Drosophila melanogaster: one gene and its partner. The protein of the gene in region 1 interacts with the protein of each later gene in a pairwise test. Each region holds a gene or a part of one and is shown in the gene's direction. Other genes may lie near its edges.

Region 1 (8,617 bases):
AGGAGTTCACATGTCGGCGGCGCTTCCTTTGGGCGAGTCCTGAGACCTGGCGTTGCCTTTATAGCAATTTAATGTGTTCTTGTAGCCGTTGTTTCACTCTTGTGAAAAATGATTTCGCTTTGCTCCACGCCAAAGCCAAAAAAAGCATATAAAATAGAGGAAAAAAAAAACGAAGCTAGCAATTTGTCTGGCCTTCTAGGAAAATCATCACAATGGCGGTTGTTTAGTGGGCGGAATCCCAGACTTGGCTTTTTGCAAAAGTTAAGGAATTTCGCGTGGATTTACATACATGCGTGCTATTACACATATTTAGTAATTGGTATACCCATTATTTTTATTTTTTTTTTTGTGTGTTTTGGGCCTTGATTTTGAAGAAGGCGTTTCGCCTTCATTACTTTATTTTCGTAGCTCCTTAAACGATTTGGGATTGTGTTGGCATTGCTTTGCTAAGGGTCTTTAAGGTCTGTTTAAATGGCAGTAAAACTACTCGACAATTTCATACAAGCTGATTAATAATATTCACTATCACACTTTATTAAGGCAACCAAGATTTATAGATGCCCACGTTTCCAAACATTTTCCCAGCATTCCACAATGCCCCCGTATATATGCATGCCACACCCAAGAATATCAATAAACTTTGTGGCCAGCAGCTATTGATTGCTGGTGACATTGAACCTTGACATTGCTGCCTGGGAAAAGGATTCCCCAGCGATTGTTCCTGTGGCATATTAATTATGCTGCTGGCCATCGTGGCTCGTGGCTGATCATAAATTAATGGCTCGGGTTCAGTGTCCCTAAAATTGCAGCAATTATCTGCATTATTTTCTTGGGGCATGCCAGGCAATTATGAAAATTAACATGTTTGTGCACAATAGCACACAAGAGCCGCAAACTGTGGCAGCAAAAAGCTTTTACATATTCATCAGCCTACGATGTCTTCAAGGTCTCAAAAAGTGGGTGGAATCCTGTGTATTTCGTCGGTTTTCGGCGTGTGGGTTTTGACTTAATCTGCTTGCTTTATTTGTCATGCACGTACAGGTTGGTGAATTAAATTTGAATTCCCCCCACCGCGCCTGCCTGCGGGGAAACAACTCGGGAAAAACAAGAGCAAATTTCCCAGACTTTCCACAGCATGCCGTCCTTGTTTCCCAGCTTCGTCGTTTTTGCTTATATTTTGGCTACATTTGATTTAGCTTTTTAATCCGCCTGCAATGTGCACTACTCTGAAAAGTATTCAATAAATTGAAATTAAAATAAGGCATTGCTAGTGTGTGGCAGAATAATAAATAAATCCTAATTAGTAAGCACAATTAACTTTTAGTATGTGCTTATTGGAATGTATTGCAATAAAAATAAAAGAACACATGTTATATAAATTGCACTAAATAATGGTTAGGCTATCCTTATGCCTATTTAAATATTTTAAAGGTAGCATAAACTCCAACACCTCGACCATCGCATTCCCATTCTACAGTGCAACCTCCTACAGTGAGGCCTGAGTTATTGCCTCCATTTCTTTGGGGCTGTCAACGCGGCCATTTGAGAGCTATCTCCGTTCTTCATGGCCATGTCAATGATTTGCTCGACTGGAATGCGGCATTTTTGCTGAGCCATCTATGCAAATCTCCGTTTGTCCGAAGGTCGACCAAACCCAAACCCAAGCCCATTTGCCATTGTCATCATGGGGCAAATGGAATTTGCCAGTTAACTCTTCCATCTGGTCACCTCGTGCTTTTGCCTGATTTTTACGCAGTTGTCAACCCGTCGAAAGCGACTTATTCGCCACACCTTTCAGGTGCAGAAAGACAGGAAGGAAGGAAGGATTCGAATCTGGATCCCCAGTCACGCTGTGCGTGCTAGAATGGTCAACAGTTTTATTGTCCGGCAAAGGACTCTGGAAACAAATGTTGATTTCTGCGCACAGAAAAGAAAAGGATTTTTTAGAGGTTTTTTATGTGTTTTCGCATCTGGCGGCGACAGTTGAAATTTTATACTACCGTTGGTTGTTAATGAGTGTCGAGATTGTATGCTTTTTAAACACATTCAAGGGTCCTTGAATAGATTTTGTTATTAACGGCGAAAAAAGTGGAAAAAATATGTCACAAAAGAGCGCCTTTAAATCTAACTTTGTGTTTACATTTTATATCAAAAACATTAATTCAATCTGTGCTAGTATGCAACATATTTCATTTAATTTTATTTATTTATTTTTCTTTCCAATTGAAGTCCTTTATCCCACCAGTTATTTAAAGTCGCAGTTGGTCTTTAAAATGCGCGGGGCAATGGCAAAGCAATTACCCATCGATTTGTTCGATTCGGAGGCGCTCAAGTGCTTAAGCGTCCTTTCACCTTTTTGGCAATGGCATCCTGGCGATTTTGGTCCGTGGATAAACAGCGTTTTGTTTGCATTTGCGTGGCGTTTATTTGTTTGCCCGCTGTTGATGTCTGCTGGTCGAGGAGCTTGGAGCTTGGACGACGAGGGTTTCCCGGGGAAGAAACAGATCTTCGGAGGGGTCAGGACATCTTGCAGACGTGGTGGGTCAAAGGCTCCTGCGGGTATTCCAACCGGTCACTGTTCCCAGGTAAGTCGGAAAAAACACAAATGGTTTACTTAAATTACGGGGCTAAGAAAGAAATGAAAATGCGCATAAAATTTTTATACTTTGTCGAATTTCACGAGCGTTCCTTCCCATCGATTCATCTGTGCACTTTGCAGTCGACGCTTGCGGAATAAAATCCACTGCCCCTCAATTCCTCAAATTAAGTAAAGTGAGTAGGGGAATCCCCTTTTCCATTTAAATTTGCATAAGAGGCATCGGCGAAAGCGGATGAGGATGCGGATGGGTTGCAGTGTAATTGGGCGAAGTGAAATTGCGTTAATATTTAACAAGCCAGCGAAAGTGCAAAAGCGAAGCGCATTAAATGCGGAAAAGGGATACGGAAACGTAGTCCTTCGGGGCAAAGTGCGAAATTATGCGGAGTTCAGGGAGATCCGCAAGCCCTTTCCTTTGCGAGCACGGACCTCAAATGTTAAATGTTAGCCATAAGGTCAGCCAAATGTGAAACTCGAGCCGTGAAAGCGAAATGTTTGACCGCGAAGAGCAGCGCTGATTTTGAGTGGTAATTTCATTTCTCATTATCGTCGTTATGGTAATTCAATAAAATCATGACAATTCAAAATTTCGTGCCCGGCATGCGATTGGAATCTGATTATTGCAAATTCAATTTATAGTGCTATAAATATAAAAAATTTACAAAAGATATTAAACATGAATTTTAACCCATATAATATAGTACAGTTATACATAATAATAATAAAATCCGCAAAGATCTATTTATCGTAAATTTCAAACATATACGATATTCAAATATTTTGGCGCCATTACAGGTACTGAAAAATACCAAAAATACCGTAAGGTAACTATCGATGACGGCGATCAGCTGTGATCATCAATGGCGAACAGCTGATCTGGCTCGCGAATTTTCATCTTGTTGTTGGACTTTCTGTTGTGGACTTTGAAACGTCGCCTCTCGAGTTTAAACAACAAAAGTTACTCAATTTGGAAAGCCATCGAGTGGATAGCCATGTTTCGGACCCGGGTGCACCGCAATCTGTCGTGGATATCGACGAACTCGTCGAGGACAACGACCACTCATGGCCAGCACTACCAATACCTGCAATGTTCCAAGCTGCCAACGCTGTACTTTCAGCGCTCCTTGCCGCGATTGCCCATTCCTCTGTTGGAGAACAGCTGTCGGCGTTTCCTGGAGGCCACCAAGCCACTACTCTCGCCGGCGGAGCAGGCGCAGACCCAGCAAACGGTGGAACAGTTTCGCCAGGGGATCGGCATGGAACTACACGCGAAACTCAAGAGCCATGATGCAGAGAACAAGCATACCAGCTACATCTCGCAGCCCTGGTTCGACATGTATCTAGCCGATCGAGCGCCCCTGCCACTCAACTATAATCCGCTGCTGGTGATGAAAAGCGACGCGCGACCGGAGTACCAGCAACAGGTGGTTAGGGCTACCAACCTGATCATCAGCTCGTTACGGTTCTGGCGATCTCTGCAGGCGGATCTCCTGGAGCCGGAGGTGTACCACATGAACGCCAAGAAGAGCGACACTTCCAGCTACCGCAGGTGGATGAAGGTGGCTCCCAAAGCCTTTGCCACCTACGCGTCTTATGCCTTCAAGGCCTTTCCGCTGGACATGAGCCAGTACAACCGGTTGTTTGGCACCTCTAGGATTCCTAGGATCGGCAAGGACGAGCTGGTCCAGTCACCGGACGCCAAGCACATTCTGGTTATGCGCCGCGGTCACATGTACGCCGTAAATGTGCTGGACTCCAGTGGATACATCGAGAGTCCCAGTGTGATTCTGGGCAGACTAAGGGCTGTGCTTAAGCTTGATGCAGATCGCGAGGCAGCCAGCGTGCCACTTGGTGTTCTGACCTCCGGACAGCGTGATGAGTGGGCCAAGACAAGACAGCATTTTGTTAGCAACACCAAAAATGCCGATCTTCTGGAGAGAGAGGTGGATGCGGCTCTGTTCTGCGTTTGTCTGGATGGCGAAGAAGATGGAGTCTTTAACGAAAACCAGCAGGAGCCGCTGCTCAAGCATTTGCTGGCGGGAAAAGCGCAGAATCGGTAAGAAGTCGACATTATGTAAAGCCTGCCTGATTCACAAAATCATCCTGTTCTGTTACAGTTGGTTCGACAAATCCATTTCCCTGCTTATAAGTGCAGATGGAACAACGGCTATTAACTTCGAGCACTCGTGGGGCGATGGAGTGGCTGTGCTTCGCTACTTTAACGAGCTCTACAAGGATACTTTGAAGCAGCCGTTTGTATCCACGGAGACAGTGCACACTCCCGCCGAAGGCGATTTTAGCAACGTGCGGCCCATCAACTTCGAAATCGACGATGCCACCAAGTCGGCCGTTTCGGAGGCTTATAATAAAAACGCCAGCATTGTAGATAATCTGGACATGAATGTGCTGAAGTACCCACACATCAACAAGCCCACATGCAAGCAGTATGGCCTAAGTCCGGACTCCATCATTCAGCTGTCCTTCCAGCTGGCTTATCGCCAAGCCTACAGCGGCTATGTGGGCAGCTACGAATCCTGCAGCACATCCGCCTTCCGACACGGACGTACCGAAACGATGCGACCGTGCACAAATGCCACACGGGACTTCTGTGAAGCTATCCTCCAGCCGGAGAGGAGCAAGCCCAGCGCCGGAGAACTACGAGCAATGATCGACAATTGCAGCAAGGTGCATGGCCAGTTAACCAAGGAGGCGGCTATGGGCCAGGGCTTCGATCGGCATCTCTTTGCCCTTCGGCACACGGCCCAAAAGGAGGGAATACCAATTCCCGATCTCTATGAGACTGAGGCTTACAAGCGCATTAATAACAACATCATTAGTACCTCAACACTGGGTTCAGATGCCCTGCTAGCGGGTTCCTTTGGTCCGGTGGTCAAGAATGGCTTCGGAATCGGGTAAGCTGACTGCCTGTCGAGATTGGGTATTTGAATGTACAAATGCAGCACCTATTTTTCAAGTTGCCTCGACAAATTGTTCACTAGCTGACAGTTGATAACCCATTATTCTTTCAGCTATTCGATTCAGAACGATTTTGCCGGCGCCATTGTCACCACGTACAAAAACCAGGCCGATGGGAAGGTGTTCATAGACAGTCTGGAATCGGCATTTGATAAAATTTGCGCTGTCATCCAGCAGAGCAGCAGTAGCAAGAAGTAGGAGAAAATCGTGAGGAGTCCGACCCCGAATCCAATGAATATGGCTTTAACGTAACAGGGAGATTTATTTTGATGCTTTTACATTGTATCCCATGTGTCTGAATTGCAATATCTTTATCTACAATTTATAGATTATACACTGAAAACATTCTACCCCATCTAAAGCATCTGTGTCTTTGCTTTTATACCCGCTGCTTTAATGGCTTTTGCGGCTGATGGGATAATAAATTGGCTAACATATTGTTGGGATGCTGCTGGCTTGACATTTGCAATTGAATACGAGAAATAACTCACGTTTTAAAACAATGCTGAAAACAACTTTAAAGTAAAGAGTTTAAGAAGTTTATATTAAAATTGAACATAGAGTTATGATAAACGAGCTGAAGTAAAATCGAATAAGAGCGGTTGAAAGCATTTAAGATTATTTTGCGTAAGAAAATGTTTTTTTTTTAAGAAAACATCTTTCGATCCTTTGTTTTCCTAAGTAAAATCAACACACAGAACGATGTATGGCACAAACCCTTTTGAGTTGGTTTAACTATTGAGTCTCCTTTTAAGCATGCGTAAACTTTGACCTTTCATTGTCACTTAAGTTAAACAAGATGTGTGCCCACGCACACCCTGTTCCCAACTTGTTTATCCCGGAATAAGTGGGGGAAAAACCCTTGCATTAAACAGTTTCTGATTAAAGATTTCCCACACGCTGACCCAGAAAACTTGGCCACCAACCCTTCGGGCCAAGTTGTTGCCTTTCGATTTGTGTCAGCCGCACACGTCAATCGCGAACTCCGCCTAAACATGGCGAAAAGTTTATCAAAACGTTGCCTTTTTGGCTGGGAATGGGGATGTCGCTAAATGTGCTGACGTTATCAGTTGATTTATCGTCAAATTTTGTGCCAACTGGCGTGGCGTTGTAAAAATTAATTAACTTGCTCGCCGAGTCTTCCTGATACGTACACGATTCCGCCTTAATGGGCGGCATTAAAAATTAAAAAAGGAGACATTTACGCGGCGGAGAGGTCATTAAAGCCAAGTAGACTCTTCTGCCAGTGGCGGACAATTAAAAACATATTAAACTGACGTGCTGGAAAGGATGTGCATGTGGATGTGGCTGTGGCTGTGGATGCGCAGTCTGTGTGTGCGAGGATGTGGGTCGATGATAAATGGGCGGTCGCCAGGATTTAATATTGCGCATACGCCGCCGACGCCCGGCAGCTCATTAAATTATTCAAAAATGGGACTCCACTGCCCGTCCGTCCAGCTGGCTACATAGTTGTGGCATTATATGTATCCTAGTACATCATCCTGTTGGTCCATTGTGCTGCGGCATGCGACATGTGGCTGCGATAAAATGTCCTGACGTGAATCGCCTGCTGATGAGTTTCGGACTCAGAGCGCCGTTTAACTTTCCACTTCTTAATCAAAATTGCGTTGAAAGTCAAAAGGTTCGAGAAAGGCCAGGCTGGAAATCAATAATTGTTCTCCTAATTGAATATTAATATTTAATTTTCGCTTTCTCGCTGTGTTAAAGAACGCATCATTAGGCCGGGCATCTGTTGCCAAACTTATCCTGGGCAAGGGCTGCCCGCAAATTGATTTATGGCCGGGTGGTGGATACCCCGCTGGATTTAAGCACTTGTCTTTTGTTCGTGGCAGGCAGCTTCAATTTGCGGCAACAATAATATTTGTTCGACCACAGCAACCGCACGACCGCAAGGCTGTTAGCAACTTCTCAGTGTCCCAGACCACCAGCCGCAGTGCGTATGCGTAATCTTGGTCAAGCTATTGCCGCATGTTAATGCACTCGGGCCAAAAGACAAGCCGCACTTCCGCACCACGGGCTAATGAGCAATTAATATGGAAATCAGTTTTGGCCATTACAAGGTGCCTGGCCAATTATGTTGCGAACTGGTCCGAATTAATGGCCAGGTCATGTGGGAACGTGTCTGGAAATTACAACTGCCCGTTGGTCATACGGTCCTCCGGAGTTAGATTTTATGCTCCAATTTGTAATGAGTTACTAGAGTCCTTTGATACAGGTACTCGGATGTGCTCTGTATTCAGTTGGCAATTGTCATGACTAAAATTAAGCTGACCGTAATTTGGTTAAGGTAACTCGGCTAAAAGTACTCAAGTGTTGGTAGCCAACAACAACGTTTAAATAATTACCAGTTTTTCTCCCCCTTATTTTCAATAAAGGATCATAGTCTTAAAGGCTCTCGAATATCAAAGTGTCAGCTACTGGAAACGACGTCTTAAGCCCAGCCGCAATTTTTCGGGGCGAGCTTCCTTGTGTAATTAACATCAGATTTATGAGCAATTCATGGAAAATGTCTGCACAGGTGTCTGAAAAAGTACTTGAAACTCAATTCAAGCAGCTCGTGCTTGTGTTAAGCATTCAAGTTAATTGGTTTTGCCGCAGGACATTTGGTGAGACATGAGCGCAAACAATGAGCTGGTCCTATAAATGCCAAAAGCAATGCGGAATAATCATTTCTAATTGCCGGTAATTATTTACAAAATTAACAAATAGTCAATGAGCCAGCAGCGGAAACGAAAGCCAAAGGAAAATTAGCAAAACAAAATGGGTGAAAATATATTTCTTTTGGGAAAAACTAGAAAAAGAAATGCGCCAAAATGAGGTAAAAACTATTTGAGTTCGTTTTCTGGCTATTGATTCACCTTCCGATGGTTGGATGTTAGCCAGTTTTTCCGAGAGAGGAAAACAAAGAATTCAACTTGAGGTAGTCGGAAATTGGGTACATTTGTTTATAAACATTTTGGTAAACAAAGGCAATTTGAAAAAAGCCGAACGATAGATAAAAGTAAATAAATGTGGGGAGAAAAA
Region 2 (7,938 bases), on another chromosome or scaffold:
TACCGCTATGCAAGCATCACTACGAGATAATCCAGAAGGTGTTTGCCAATCCGCAGCAGGTTATGTCCAAGTTCATACTTAACATATATCAACTGAAGCTTCACCAGTACGCCATGACTAAGTTGGAGGACAAAAAAGACGAGGAGAAATATCTTCGCACCCTTTATGAGTTATACTCGCGGTGAGTCATTCAGAAGTTACGTTAAATGTCAAAATTTGCGATTACTTTCATTTCACAACCACTTTGCAGCACACTAAAATTGTCAACAGATCTTCAAATCTACATGTCCACGATCGACGACGACTTGTTACAGAAGCTGACACAGCAGATTTTTATAAAGCATTTGGCCGGCTACGCCGAAATGGAGACCAAATGCCTCACAGCCAAGTGTTCCACAGAGCTGGAAAAGTTCTATGCCAGCAAGAAACACCAAAAGACTGCAACTACTAAGGGCTTTCGGAGAAACATGGAGGTGCTGATAGCCACGCGGGCTAACATAAATATTGCTGCCATCGAGGACTATGGCGGGGAGACGTTCCTATCCGAAGAGTTGGCCATCAACATGCTGCAGGAGGCCAAGGCGTCGCTTAAGCGCTGTCGCCTGCTGTCCAACGAGACCGAACTACCAGGCAATGCTATAAAGCTAAACGATATCCTTCTTCGTTTCTTGATGCACGAGCACGTAGATTACGCACTGGAGTTGGGACTGCAAGCAGTGCCACTGGCCGAGGGCAGGGTCTTTCCCCAGCTCTACTTCTTTGATGTGGTGCAAAAGACGAACATCATTGTCCATCTACTGGACAAGCTGTGCCACACATCTGTCATACCCTGTGTGAGGTATGTTAGGACTTTGTTAATTTACATTTTATAGAATGTATAATGTATTCTTTTCTAGTAATACACCCAAGTACTCGGACTATGTGTTCAAAAAACGTATTCTGATGGAGCAAATCGAGACAAAGCTGGACCAGGGTCTTGATCGCTCTATTAGCGCTGTTATTGGCTGGGTCAAGGTATATTTGCAATATGAACAAAAGAAAACGGACTACAAGCCGGAAACAGATGTGGATACAATATCTTCAGCGGTAAGATATAAATTTAGTAAAATCGAGCTTATCTGTCTATCCTTAAAAATGTTTATTTTTCTTTTCTAGGCCTGCTTACAAGTCGTTCAGAATCTGCAGCCCGTGATTGTGCAGATTAAAAAATGTGTTGATGGAGAGAATTTGCAGAATGTTCTTACAGAATTTGGAACTCGGTTGCACCGAGTAATCTACGATCACCTGCAGACCATGCAGTTCAACACGGCTGGCGCCATGTGTGCCATCTGCGACGTGAACGAGTATCGCAAGTGCATTCGCGAGCTGGATAGTCCACTGGTCACGCAGCTGTTTGACATACTGCATGCATTGTGCAATTTACTACTTGTTAAGCCCCAAAACCTTCAAGAAGTTTGCACGGGTGACACTCTGGTAAGTGTGCGGTGCCTTTGATGTCGAGCGATAGTCTTACGTTACCATCTGTATCCACCCCACTCTATTTAGAATTATCTGGACAAGTCGGTGGTGCGGCAATTCATTCAGCTGCGCACTGATTTCAGGATCATCAAGAACACCAACTATCTGAAGGGTATTATTGAGTGAGGAGTTCGACGTCCAGAATGATTCACATTCCAAAATTTTCCACCTTCGCTGTCTACGGATTAAATTGATTTATTAAAGGGGACATTATCTAATGATGTTTAATTATGGCTTGCCATGTTCTTTAACTTTCAATTAAAGTCAAGTGGCTGGTTACTTTTATCAATACATCGCCCGCGTTACTTGATTTACTTTCGTGTATTTATAGGCGCGACTCACACGCGTGCCCGCCGCCCAACCACCCACTCTCAGACCCACACACGCCTCCAGCTACGTCACGGACTTCCCGTTTGGAAATCTTCAAAGAGATTCGCTGACCTTATCAGTTGGAGCTGAAGCGAAAGTCAGCGTTATTTGCTCCCATCGGCTTCCAGTCAATAAATCAAAGTTTATTGCCTAGGCGTCCGCGAATTATTTATTTATTTACGTTTGCCCGGAGAGTGCCAGCACTCCAATCGAAGAGAGGCCGGCTACTTTTGTTGGTACCCACTATTCTTGGTGTCAGTCACCTAATAGCCACCAAGCAAATCGTATCGCCAAAAAAAAACGTTGCCAGCCCGTGATCCTGATTAACGAACTGCTTTGTTATTGTTATTAACATTTCTTATTTGCACACCTACGCAAAATTCGTTTGGACGATATTCTAATCAAACCGCGATCAAGATCTCAGTCGATTAAACCATGCGCGGCGCCCTAATGGATTACTATCTAAAAATACTCTTGGTTATTTGCGCTGCCCACGAATTGGCCGGCGGAACGATCAAGTCTACCAGAGATGCTGTTTACAAAAAATATCTGTCCCTAAGATCTTTGCCCTTCGAGGATTGCGGTAAGTATATCTCAGGATCAGTGCTTTTCGGTGGGTCGATTCAGACAACGTATAAAATCAATTGATTTCCACAGGGGAAAAAAACGGTAAGAAAATATCTCGAGCAGTTTTCTTATACACCATGGCTTTGTTAAGGTATGCATTCGAAAAGAAACCTCAAAAGCTTTATATTCGAAAAAATATTAGAATTAGAAATCATTCTACTAAAATATTATCTTCCGGTGGAAAATCGACCTACCGAATAATACTATAATAATACAATAATAAGGAATTACTTCCGCAACACCCATTTTCGGGAATTTTAATGGATCCAATATTGTGCACTGTAATTCAGATTATATCGCTGCCAAGTATATTGTAAATTTCACAGGGCGCAATCTGACAAAAGAGAAAACGATATAACAGAGTTCCTCGACCATCAGATACCCCTTAGTCACCTTAAGGCAGTCCGAGCAAAGGATTGAATCTTGCAATCTTGCAATTCAATCAATTTCGAGATTAAATATAAATTTATGGTTATAGGATTTTAAGAACTACGTATGGAAATATCAAAAAACGAATATAGTATACCCTATTACTCTATGAGTAACGAATATATATAATAGTCATAAAGAGTAATTCCCCGATAGTAGCGCCTTTAACTTCACTTTATACTTGTGACATGATAAATCTAATTTATGATACATTACCATAATCGAAAAATACTATCAGAGCTTAATTTGAAAGTGGGTAAGATCTGTGGGCGTAATAAACGTGATATTCCAATGACATCAACAAAAAACCCGAATATAGTTACTTGTTTTCAATTTTTCATTATCAACAGAATATAAAATTAGATTGACGCTGTTCATTTTGCAGTCAAGGAAAAAGAAATCCTATTTTTAACTACTTTTAATTACCCAGCTTAGTTGATTTTAGGGCATCAAACCTTCGTTAACTAGTTTTGGTTGCCCAAAACACGAGCTATTAATTGTATTCTGGTTTTTACGATGTCTGATTAAATGGAGTATTTATGGACTGTGCACAGTAAATACATGATTTATGTTCTAGATTTGAGGAACTGTAAACAAACAGATATGACGCCCTTATGGGGGATTACCTTATGACGCTGATAGACAGGCGAACGCCCACTTTGGGGGGGCAGTAATCAATGAGCAGCCAAGTTAATTGAGTGTTGTAATCTAATGCTGAACGCGGTTCATTTTTTGAAGATAGAAACTTTTTAACGGCCTTGGGAAGTGCACTTGGTCATAGATTATTTAGAAATGCGTATATAGTATGTATAGGCGATCGCCTGTGTGGATCGCAGATAATTCGGCTTAGTTGCTGAGAGTAAAGTTTTTTACTTTGTTGCCAGGTGTTAATTATATGGTTGAATGGCATGTACTATGTCACGTAACCAAATCCATTCAGGATAGAATGCCCAACCTTACCTACTCTATGGATCGTATCCTTATTATGTTTAAAGGAATAACTACGAACTATTTTAGCATGTTGTTAGCATAAGATCTAAAGCTAAAAGATCCATATCTTCTGGTTTTATGTGCCTTTTAAATCTGTTTCCATTGCCTCTTTTAGGTTCTTTGTACCAGGTCAGCTACCTGGACATCGAGAGCTGTACGACACTGCCCTGCTCCATGGCCCGGAACGCGACAATTAAGGTTACTGTGCGCTTCGATGATAATGGTATGTAGGTGCTCCGCTGATAACAGCAGATCCGTGCATTCGGAATTGGGATTTCTCAGAGCAACGTACACTCGACTCGCGTTCTGAGCAAAAGTCAGTCGGAAATAAAAATAGATGTGGTGCGGGCGAAGAACTTCGATCAGGTGAATGGCGGATGTTCGGGTGGGGCAAGGTGTTTTGGAACCCCCTGAATTCCCTGAATATGCATGGTCAAATGATGGTGGCAATAATGATAAGCTGGTGAAGATTGTATATCTACAAAAACTCACCGAATTTCCTGCTGCTACTACTACTACTGTTTATGTTCAATGCATTTCGATTGCAACCTAGGCTCAGCCCCACAGTCGATCCATAAATAATAAATTAAACGCCTAATGGTATTTTGATGAATCAGCAGAAATGGAGACGAAATCGAAACGATTGATCTCAGCACGAATCGAACATTTGGAGTACTAATTTGCGATAGGGGGCTGAAACGAAGATTGGCCAAAAATTCGATTAAAGAGAGCATGCAAAACATGTTCAGATAATTGGATTAGAGTTTCAGCTTTGATAAAAAACGTACAGCCAAGCCAAAATGATAGTAATAGTATAATTGTTTTATGTTATAGTAAAACTTATTATTTTATCCCATTAACAGGCAATGGCGTCAGCTTTCTGAAGCACGAAGTCCGATGGGTGTTTAACTACATCAAGACCCAGGCGGCCATAACTCCCGATCCCTGCGACGGAGATCACGGATGCATAGAGAGCGCAAGTGGTGGAAAGGCCTATTGGGCCAATATCTTTGTGAACGAAACTTTGCCGGTGGTAAGTAAAGAACCCTTACAATAAACTCTACAAATCACCATTAATATTCATTCGTACATATTCTTAATTATATATTTTATATATATATAATATATTTCTCTCTGTGTTCCAGATGAAAGGTAGCATGTTGTGGGAATCCAAGGATGCGAACGATCAGAACCTAATCTGTTTCCAGGTTCCCGTTGTAATCACAGTGTAAATGTGTAATCACGAAAATAAAGTAATTGGTGCATGCAAATCAACAGACCAGTGCGTTTGTGTGTGTGTGTGGGGGAGGGGAGGTGTGCATGTGTGCATCCTTTAATGAAATTTTGAATGAAAACAAAGGGGCGCGGCATCGTAGTAGTAGAAAGGGAGAGCGAGCGAGACGGGAGGTGGAGATCTCCGTTTTGGCACGGCACACACGGTGAGTGGGAGCGGGAGCAAGTGGAGCACGGCACAGTGGTACAAATCGCTGATATAGCACTTAAACAGTCGAGTATAAACAATACTATTTAAATATAACAGAAATATATGTTTATAACTTAAAATAGTTATGTAACAAACTATTATATGCTGTGTGATTATTTTGAATATTTTATAATTAATATTATGTTCGAAAAATCCACCACCTTGCCCACTGTGGCGAGAGAGCGGCGGGAGAACGGGAGCATTGGAGCTCGAGCCCTGCAGTCCGAGTCCGTGGCGTTCAGTGTGTCACTCTCTCTTGGGGGCTGCAGCGCAACGGTCGCACGAAAAGAGCTCCCACTTGAGATTTAGATTCAGATTCTGATTCGGATTGAGATTCGGTTTCGGTTTTGTTACTTAAGATCAACAGTTCCCAGGAGCGGAAATCGGAACAGTGCGGCGAATTAAAGATTAAAGTGGCAACAAGCGATCAAAGAAGGCGCTCCGACTGCGTGGGAGTACGAGATCACGGATCACGAGGCGTGGAGCCAGTGCATCCGAAAGTGTTTCCATTACCGTGAGTACCTAAAAATGTATCGCACTGCCCGCCATTTGCGCAATTCCGTCGGCGTAAATGAGATTGTCTTCGCGCTAATTGCGGACTAGTAGAGATGGTGCTGGCGATATAGGGGCATCCAAGGGGATGAGCTGAGATCCCATCGGATAGTGCACGGTTGACATGCGGCAACATCACTTCTCACGCCCCAAAAGCTCTCTTAGCCGTACACTTGCATAGGCGGCGTTCTTTTGCCTATAGAAGAGATTTTAGAACATATTTGAGTTTTAGAAAGGAGATCCCAGAAGAAAAGCTTTTACAGAACTCTATAATCGGAAGTACGAGTATGAATGCACACACGACATATCATATCGCTGAACCTTGAGCACGGCTTCGTGTTCAGAACCTGACGTAGAACTCGACACCGCCATGGATACAGATCCTACTCGGATTCGCTCCGCTTGAGCTTGAGCTTGAGCACATGCCCAGCTGGGTGCTTGAACCCCTTAAATGGGCTTCCATTGGGGTCACTTGGATTTCCTAGCGGTCTTAAGTGTCACCATAGCGATCCGGGGGATACCGCGCTTGACAACAATGGGAAAGATACGAAGTTTCTAGCAAGAGAGTAGCTAGATCATGTGAAATTGGTATAGGGACTACATACTGAAGAATATAGAGCTCAAGCTTAAGACCTTGAATTTGTAAGATAATCGTAAAGCTTGTTGTTCTTGATGATGAATTGTTTAGGTTATAAATTTGCATGAATCGAAAGCGTTGACATCTGACGCATACTAAAATGGAATCATACTTTATTTTCATGATATTTGAGAAGGGAACTTCACGGTTTCTTTAAATGCACAACAGCAAACAGTCGGTTGATATTTACATTATGGTTAACTGTGATTCAGCAATGATCGTGGATAATGTTTAGCCCCCCGTAAAAAGCCAGTCCATCGAACTCCTCGGTTTGATCTCGCCGTTTTCTCGCCTGGTCCCCAAAAACTGATGATTGCTCCCGTTCCCCGTCCCATTTGCTGGTATTTTGTTACGTGCCCTCTTGGAACGTTAAAGTTTTTCGACTTGTTTTTTTTTTTTACCACCAATGCACTTTGGCAGCGACGGAGGCAACAATGCGATGAGCTGTTGGTCAAAGTGTTAAACGATTTGCATCATATTACACCCAGTTGCTGCCGCCTCGAGTTTTGGCCATTGTCGCCGGATTGCCATTGTAGTAAGCCCCAAATGGGGGATTGTGGTAGGGGGTGGAATGAGGGTGGCTAAGGGGACGGAGCAACTGCAAGTGGAGGCAAAACAAAAGCAACACTCCAGCAAGAGCAGCAACCACCAACGATTTATCACAGCAACGACGTCAACGAAATCGATCCGGATCTTAGTGCCCCCCATCCTCATCCCCCCCAATTGCCATCCGCTGCCCTCCTTAGCAACGCCCCTGTGTGTACACTTGCAGAAAATATGGGTCAAACGTGACCTTAAACTTGACTATGGCCATTACCTCCATCTCTTTTTTGATGAATACTTTGTAGTGTTTTTCAATTTTATATTTTTTCATTTTATCCAACTAATTTCCTAAAATTTATTAGCATTTTCCCCAAGTGCATCATATGTGTGCTATGCTATGCTGGCCAAGTGCCTTATCGCCTTGGTGTGCGTGAAGCATAAAAAGTAATTTTGAATTTTTGAATCGTTAAAAGCAATTAATCGCCTCTACGCAACGGCAGCCAGCCTGGCTGCGACTCGACTGTCTCATCAGCGTCAGCCGGAGAACCCATTCATCTGGAAGAGTCGTGGCCGCGATCCTCATCCCCATACCCCACACCCCGCACCACACATCCCATATAGCATACCCATAGCCAAACCCCAACCACAACCCCAACCCAATCCCCGCATTGCCGACGCTTTACTGCCCAATTTTGTTGCAAATTTTTCGTTCCGCGGAACTTGGTGCATTTCATCTCGTCTGCTCTTGGCGATCGTCGTCTTCGCAGTCGCCGCTTCATCTTCTTGCGTC

The links. Proteins that work in one complex are often made in the same cells at the same time.
Region 2: the proteins of CPT2 (region 1) and Npc2f interact in a two-hybrid assay, tested with the Drosophila melanogaster proteins (one large-scale study listed by BioGRID).

The regions. Positions count from the first base shown.
Region 1 is NT_037436.4:2,977,535-2,986,151, forward strand, and holds CPT2 (carnitine palmitoyltransferase 2), read left to right. Parts: upstream 1-3,487; 5' UTR 3,488-3,588; coding exon 3,589-4,652; intron 4,653-4,713; coding exon 4,714-5,508; intron 5,509-5,625; coding exon 5,626-5,770; 3' UTR 5,771-6,017; downstream 6,018-8,617.
Region 2 is NT_033777.3:24,135,731-24,143,668, forward strand, and holds Npc2f (Niemann-Pick type C-2f), read left to right. Parts: upstream 1-2,164; 5' UTR 2,165-2,322; coding exon 2,323-2,470; intron 2,471-4,048; coding exon 4,049-4,156; intron 4,157-4,796; coding exon 4,797-4,966; intron 4,967-5,078; coding exon 5,079-5,165; 3' UTR 5,166-5,206; downstream 5,207-7,938. Other genes in the region: Sec10 (secretory 10), read left to right, coding at 1-181, 251-838, 897-1,086, 1,156-1,473, 1,546-1,644.